2 linked regions of the Styela clava genome follow. The protein of the gene in region 1 purifies or fractionates together with the protein of each later gene. This does not show direct contact. Links are inferred from orthologs where the notes say so. Each region holds a gene or a part of one and is shown in the gene's direction. Other genes may lie near its edges. The genes, in order: protein transport protein Sec31A-like and N-terminal kinase-like protein.

Region 1 (3,936 bases):
ACGCGATGTCATGGACACAATGATTTTGGTATTCTTTCACGCCCGCGTCAATTGCGGAAATATTGTATCCTTGTTTCAATTGATATTATTGTTATCATTTTTTTTATTACTTATGTTGGTACAATATTTCATGCACGACTGGAATAAAGTATCTGAATCTATCAGCATTTTGTGATCAATTAAGTTGATTAACTGAGTTCTTTATTACTTATCGATCTTCAGATCGGTAAGTATGTTGATAGGTATTTGTCTGTTAGATGCACTCGATATCTCACGAAGGCGAGGTTGAATCTGCTCCAAATTTGTGCATTCATCATATCTCGGACCAGAAGCCTATTGATTTTAGATGAATTATGTCGTATAATTAGCGAGTTATTAATTAATTAGTGATGGGATACGCGGTGTCACTATGGAGTCATGATATAATATTTATGTATCACAATTTTCAACATTTTAACTATTGGGGACTATATTAACTACGTATATTTGATATTTGCTTCATTGGAAGAATTCATACTCACAATCCAATATGGTAATTGTTGAAAGATGTATGTGCCAATTTTTAGACAACACTATAATTTATGTCAAATTTACATATAGTATAGTATTAAAATAGTAAAATGAATCACGAAAAAGTTAAATTTTAAATATCTATCCATTGATAAAGAGGTCTCTCTCTGTCTATCATCTGCCTTGTTGCAATTTTAACATTGGGAGCCAGTGGAATGTAAATAACATTTGTTGTCTGCTATTGAGATGAGAACATAATTATTTAGTCTATTATTTCTTACTGCAAAGTGGTCTCAATTGCGTATATATGATTATTAATTTTTCGAAGTTTTATCTTCACTTTGTGGCGAATTTTGACTCCCCATAGCAGATAAATGTGTTTAATTACATGAAGGGTTACTTTTGATACGATTTGAAAAAAAGGGCATCATCTGTGAGAGCTATTCAACTACGTTAATTAAGTTGTATAGACAGTAGGACACAGTTCCCTGATTCCAAGATGTTTCGACATTTTATTCAATGAAACACACTCTATTTGTCTCTGAAACAAGGATGTATGCATCAGATTGCACCATGATTGTCTCAGTAATCATTCAAGTCAATCGCTGTCAATCTGTCATGTAATCAAAATTGCGTTTTTTTGCTAATAACTTAAATGCTGCGGTGACTTTTTTTTCTTTAATAAATTGGATCATTTTTTTCAAAGAATCCAATAGTGACGTTTTTTAATTGCAATTTCTTTTAGTTTATTACGCAGTGCAGGCTTGTCAATTTGTACTGATATAGAGCTTTTATTGACCAACTCAGTGTAGTACTAAAATATATTTAATGTCCAATTTTTATAATGGTATACTTGTTAGTTGCAGGATTACAATATCCTATTAAAATCAACTGTGGCCTATCCACACAACACAGCATAAATACCCTGTCTGTATAGATTTTGCTTCGGGATAGAAAATATCGAAAATGGTGAAAGTGAAGCAAGTAAATGTAACAGCAAATTATGCATGGAGTCCAGCAGAATTGCACCCAATACAGCTCGCAACTGCCACTGCTGCTCAACAGCTTGATGCAACATTCAGTACGTCTGCGAATTTGTCTCTGTATTCAGTAGATTTGGCAGATTCTTCTAAGGAATTAAAGCTTGCTGGACAAGTTGACATCCCCACCAGGTTCGTTTATATTTTACATTTGTCTTCACATCATTTAACAGTTATAATTTAACTTACCGTTAGTTTTATTTCAATATTGCCTATGGGATTCTAACTTTATAACTAACGTTATTTTTTGCATTAGATGTGTTTCTTGTTAAGTATGCTTCTTATTGGGTAATCGTTGGTCCAGAATGTTGACAATTACGCTAATTTGTTGCAATCGGTTTTACCTGATGTACAATATTACAATTTTATTATTACTTATCGATCTTAAGATCGGTGAGTATGTTGATAGGTATTTGTCTGTTTGTTTGTTTGTCTGTTAGATGTTCGCGATATCTTACGAAAGCGAGGTGGAATCTGCTCCAAATTTTGCATGTGCATTCATCATAGCTCGGATCAGAAGCCTATTGATTTTCGATGAATTATGTCATATAATTAGCGAGTTATTAATTAATTAGGGATGGGACACACGGTGTCACTATGGAGTAAGAGCGCTGTTTTGGGGGAACCCCTAACTTTCGATCGATAAGTCTTCGGTCTCTGACTGATATTCTCATTACTGTTTTAAGATTCTATAAAGTGATATGGGGAAACACTGGGTATGAATCATCAACTGGCGAGAGCAAAGGTCTCATCGTTTGTGGTGCTGATAACGGACTTATCAATATTTATGATCCAACCAAATTGATAGATAATACTGATAGTGAGGCTGCATTGGTAAATACCAACAACAAGCATACAGGACCAGTCAAAGCTTTGGACTTCAATCCATTTCAGGTTCATTTTTTTCAATTGCTGCTCCTTATAATAAATAATCTACTTAACAGAACAGTACTATTTTAGGCGAAAAGTTTCTAATGTTGTTTTCTTGGTAATAAGGTAACTTCTGTGAGCCTTGCCAGTTATTTTGGTATTAAACAATATATTTCATCAGGGCTATGAAGTTGTGAGTAAAAAATTCGATTCCATTGGAGTCTGGGATTTCAGACTTTTGATGGGGGTAAAAGAAGAATTTTTCAAATAAACTCAAAAGGCATAAGTTCGCTAAACCTTTTTAATGATAATTCGACAAAAGGCCTTCCGGAAGGTCTTTTGGCCTTCCGGGCGGCCCTTTCAATCAAATAGTTTTAAAACCTGATATTGTGTAATTCGATTTTGAATTTTCTTTAGCTTATGCCTTATGGTCAGGGATGGCCAATACCGAATAGTTCACTATTTCGAATACATTCGAAATTAATTTTTTCGAATATGAAATTTCGAATACTTCGAAAATAAAATCCACTAATTGAAGCTTATCTAAATGTATGTAGGAATTTCCATACAATAAGCAATGGAATAACTACTATCTACAAGTTACAACCTAGCTATATATATTACCAGGCATTTCATATTTGCAGATTATTGCAGTATATATTTTATATATATATATATACCATGAATCATGTTAACAGAATTAAATTAATACGGCAATAGTGGTATCGATGATGGATTTGAATATTTGCGCAACACAAAATCATCCTAGTAAAACGCCCATACTTTTAAATACCAACCATTGTCCAAATTATTTGCCAAAAAGCGGGATAAAGTATGAGTTATTTTTCCACTCGTGACAATTTTTTCGTGAGTACAAAAATACGAATCAAAAATTAATTATATTCGGGAACTTTACCACACATTTTAAGTCCGCAGATCGCCGTTGTATGTTTGATTGTTTGAGTAATAATACTGTTATTATTTTATAAATATGAAAATAGGAATCAAAAACTATTTATAATCGGGTAGTTTACCACACATTGTAAGTCCACAGATCGCCGTTGTATTTTGTAGATACGAAAATAGGAATCAAAAATTAATATTAATCGCGAGTTTGCCACACAATTTATGTCTACAGATTGTCGATACAACCATGAGTTACGTTGAACAAAATTAAATTAATACGGCATGACATTTTAAATGCTGGTACTAGTCATGGATTGGATTATTTTGCGCAACAAAAAATCATCCTGGTAAAGGATCGATACTTTTAACTATCGTTATCAAAATTATTTGCCGGCTATAAATACCGTATTTCCCGGCTAATAAGTCCACATGGCAAATAGGACGATGTCTATTTTTAGCACTCAAAAAGGGGGTTTTCATATAGGCCTCCAATAATACGGGTAGAAAAATTGTGTCCCTGTCGTTCAGTTATGCTGAATGCTGATACGCTCTAATAATTTTATATGTTTAGAACCAGATCATGTTAGTTTGGTAGAATCATACTCACAGA
Region 2 (3,936 bases), on another chromosome or scaffold:
ATTTTAACGGGCTTCTATCGAAGTCTTTGAAGTATTAATATTCTCGACGGATAGCTTTTTTTTATTCTGCGCGGTTATCTTTATAAATGATAATTTATATCAAACACACGGTAAATCCGATTGTAAAGTTTAATTTAAAATTCAACTTAATCTTGTAAACATGTAGGTCCCGTTTATTTGTTGGAGATTAAATTTATTTTTAATTTCGAGTGAATAAAATTCACCCAGGCCGTATTCAATAACTGTCATTTCGACTACTAATCATAAAATAATGGTTAAGTCAGTGCACTGTGCCATATGGACGTTGGAATTATCATAGTTCATTATATATTCGATATTTAACGTCATCGATTAAGTGTGATATGTATTTTCATTAATGTAATTTTGGCATATATTCATACATGACCGAACAAAATACAAAAATATTAGATTGAAACGCCGTCTTTATCTTAACGGAAATTGTCATATTGGCTCCGTTGTGTCTGGCGTCAAAATTCATTTCCGCGACGCAGTGTGACGTCGTGTCGAAGTGAGCGAAAAATAATCTACGTGAGGTTGACGTAATTTTTGACGCTGCGTGAAATCTTAATATTCTTACGGAATTTATAATTCAGAATTTTAGATTTAATTTAAATCTCGTACGACATCTTGCGATCACTCAAATAAATTATATACATTGTTGTCGCCCTCTACCGAATGATGGTATTTTAACGATGATGGCTTCAGTAGGAGCGACGCTCTGCACCGTTGAATGCCGGGCAGTCAATTTTCGGCAAAATTTCCGTTTTTTTACCAAAAAAATAATTATGCAACATTAAAAAAGATGAGAATAGATGTAGATATAACAGCGCAACCTATAATAATTAAAATTAGCAATATACGGCGCGTTTTAGCCAAGATATGGCCGTTCAAAAATTTTGTCCGAAGTTAGGAACTGTCCGAAGTTAGGCGCTTTTACGGTACCGTACTCAATTTGGGAATTTTTATGAAATTATAAAAATGGTGTGGCAAACAATTCTTATCTCTAATTACAATTCTTATTTTTATTCTAATTTCTTTTTTACTTATTTATTTTTTGTTCGTTTACTATAAAATTTATCTAAAGCTTTTTTTTTTTTAACTTTATTCAGTTATTACCCTATAGCCCTTTATTTATTCATTTTTTTCAGTTTTTAGAGCGGCTTAATTTGCTTGCAATTAGTCTTCTAGTAACTATTTTGATGCAAAGTTGATTGTTATTAAATTTTGAAATATGTGGTCGATATTTTCGAGAGATCCCACTAAAGACTTCGCATTTGAAGTTGGGGAAAAAATCTCTGGACTTGATGATCAAAGTATATGGACATTGCATAAGGGAACTCGTAAGGTATAGCTATTGTTTTGCTAATTTTCTTGTGCATAAAAATAGTATAATGCTTGAAAATTTCCCTTTTTCATTAGTTATACTTGTTTTCTATTATGTTTTGCTACATTGAGATTAGTACTTCCAAATCGAGGGTTTTAAAACAAAGGGGAGAAGTTAAAATTTTGAAAAAATTCTCATCAACAATTCCAAAAAAAGCTGCTTTTTGAGCTGATTTTCCAATCAGAGTTTGAAGCCATATTCACGAAATATTTCATTTAAAAGTTTATAAATGTTTGAAAGTCAAAAAGATTTTCTTCATGTACCGGTAGTTTAATGATGAGTTCTTAACATTCAATGTTAAAAAAAGATTTTGAATTTTAAAGATCTGTTTTGTTGATATTTTGTTTCAGGCAAACGGAGAATCTGTTTCTATATTTGCTTTTGATGTAGCAGAAAGCAATGATGCAGTGAGACAGGTTGCTTCATCATCAATAAAACGATTGAAGACTCTTCGACATCCTAATGTTCTTACATTTATCGACAGGTATTACTCTTATTTTCTTTATCCGATTTTTGTACAATATAGAAATGTTCTTTCAAGGTTCGTTGGCTTTCAACCATGAAATGAAATTTATTTATATATTTTTTATTCTTTTCAGCCTTGAAGCCCCAAAATGCATTTATATTGTTACCGAACCTGTGGTACCTTTGTTACAACATTTGAAGACAATGGAAACTAAAAATGCCACTCGTGATCTTGCAATATCTTGGGGTCTTCACCAGATTTCTGTAAGTACGGTATTTGTTTATGATGGTTTGATTATGAATTGGGAAGAAAACACAGATGCATGTCTGTATGACTACTGTAGTAATCAATTTTTTGGAAAATAATGAAGTTTGTTACAAAAAAATGAATCGTTTATTACAGCATTTTTCAAGAGGACCATATTTCATGACCACTAAAACTCCTTTCGAGAGAGTATAGTACAGGTTGACCCTGAAAAAAAAACAGAACCCGATATATTTTTTAATTTCTTCAATAAAAATAAAAAAATTTAATTTAAACTTCAACACTTGAACTTCTGTTTGTTTCAGTGATCTGGGACACTTTGCACAAAAGTATTCTTTTTTCTAAAAATATCTTCCCAATGATCTGGGTTATGTTTTTGGGTAACCTCGTACTGACTCTTAGTCACTTTTAATTATGTATCCTGTATGAAATACCGAAAAGAAATAGTTAAATAATTATGATTGATTAATTAACTGTTTTCCAAATTGTTCTACAGAAAGGTCTCAGTTTTCTGGTAAACACTGTAAATCTTATACACAACAATGTCTGCATGTCTTCCATATTTGTTGATCAAAGTGGAGAGTGGAAGTTAGGTGAGGAATGGATTGTTAGTGTGAAGGTTATTTTCAATTAGGATTTTTTCAAAATTTTTAGTCATGATTTATTTTAAATAAACTTTTTATTTCTGAATAATCAATTTAAGATGACGTGCAATACTTTTCCCTACTGGCAGCCGAAACTTATCATGTCAGATGAAGTTTTTAAAAACTTTTATTTTTGTGGAATAGGAATATTATAGTTTGTGTAATAATAAGTATTGTCTCACTCTCATGCAATTATACTTGTGTTTTCTGTTCATATATTCATACTCAGATACGTTTAAAGCAGTGAATGAATTACTTCTATGTCATTGTTATATGAATTTCAGGTGGAGTAGACTACATGTATCCAGCCTCAGGCGAAGGCAGCAATCTTCCGCCTTTCAAAACCTTACCTATGCTAGAAAAATATGATCCCCCTGAAAAATCTGCAAGAAATCGTAACAAAAAATCATCTAAGTGGTAAGTTTCGCAGTTCAATGAACTGGAATCTTAAAATTTGGATTGTAACATCAGGCCATAGTCTTTGATCATGCAATAAATGTGTGTGTTTTTTTAAGTTTTCGTAAGTCTCAAAATAATATTCTTGTTCGAAGTAATTTCAAAATATATTATTAGGCTTTCAATAACTCAATTATAATAAATCCTACATTATGGATTTGGAATACCTATCATAAAAAATGTTGCAAACAATTTGCTTATAAGATTGTAACCTTTTTGGGTTGAATTTACCATTATTTGTGTTTGACATATAATTTATCACGAGTTTTACTCGTGGATATAAATCATTTACATAAAACAAGTCTAATTAAAGTCCTGACTTGCTTATTTGTTTGAAAGTTAGAAATCTGTAGTTCAAGTACTAATTAGCAAGAGATATTGTGCACTTCAACATTTAATAAAAAATGATTCATTCTGTAATTTTTAACTTTTAATCTTACAGGTCTTCTGACATGTGGGGTTTAGGCTGTTTAATATGGGAAGTTTTTAATGGACCATTACCCAGAACTTCTTCACTCAAAGTTGTTGGGAAGGTTAGTGTCTTGCTTTCATATCTATTACTGAAATGTTTGGAACTATTGGTTATGACAGCGGATCCAGAAGGGTGCGCCGTGGCGAGTTGCTAAGTGCACCTAGGAAATTAACAGAATTGTGTTAAACATAACTAAAATATGATTGAAAATATTACATATTGTATTTAT

Evidence for each region.
Region 2: the proteins of protein transport protein Sec31A-like (region 1) and N-terminal kinase-like protein purify together in Homo sapiens (affinity purification with mass spectrometry; 3 studies listed by BioGRID and IntAct, counting the BioPlex papers as one, with this or other methods). This does not show direct contact. The link is inferred for Styela clava from reciprocal best matches to the Homo sapiens genes SEC31A and SCYL1.

Annotation. Positions count from the first base shown.
Region 1 is NC_135260.1:9,046,444-9,050,379, reverse strand, and holds the start of protein transport protein Sec31A-like, read left to right. Parts: upstream 1-1,339; 5' UTR 1,340-1,476; coding exon 1,477-1,682; intron 1,683-2,236; coding exon 2,237-2,444; intron 2,445-3,936. UniProt on the Homo sapiens protein: Component of the coat protein complex II (COPII) which promotes the formation of transport vesicles from the endoplasmic reticulum (ER).
Region 2 is NC_135252.1:12,119,967-12,123,902, reverse strand, and holds the start of N-terminal kinase-like protein, read left to right. Parts: upstream 1-1,164; 5' UTR 1,165-1,252; coding exon 1,253-1,366; intron 1,367-1,755; coding exon 1,756-1,889; intron 1,890-2,004; coding exon 2,005-2,134; intron 2,135-2,631; coding exon 2,632-2,728; intron 2,729-3,063; coding exon 3,064-3,196; intron 3,197-3,677; coding exon 3,678-3,768; intron 3,769-3,936. UniProt on the Homo sapiens protein: Regulates COPI-mediated retrograde protein traffic at the interface between the Golgi apparatus and the endoplasmic reticulum. Involved in the maintenance of the Golgi apparatus morphology.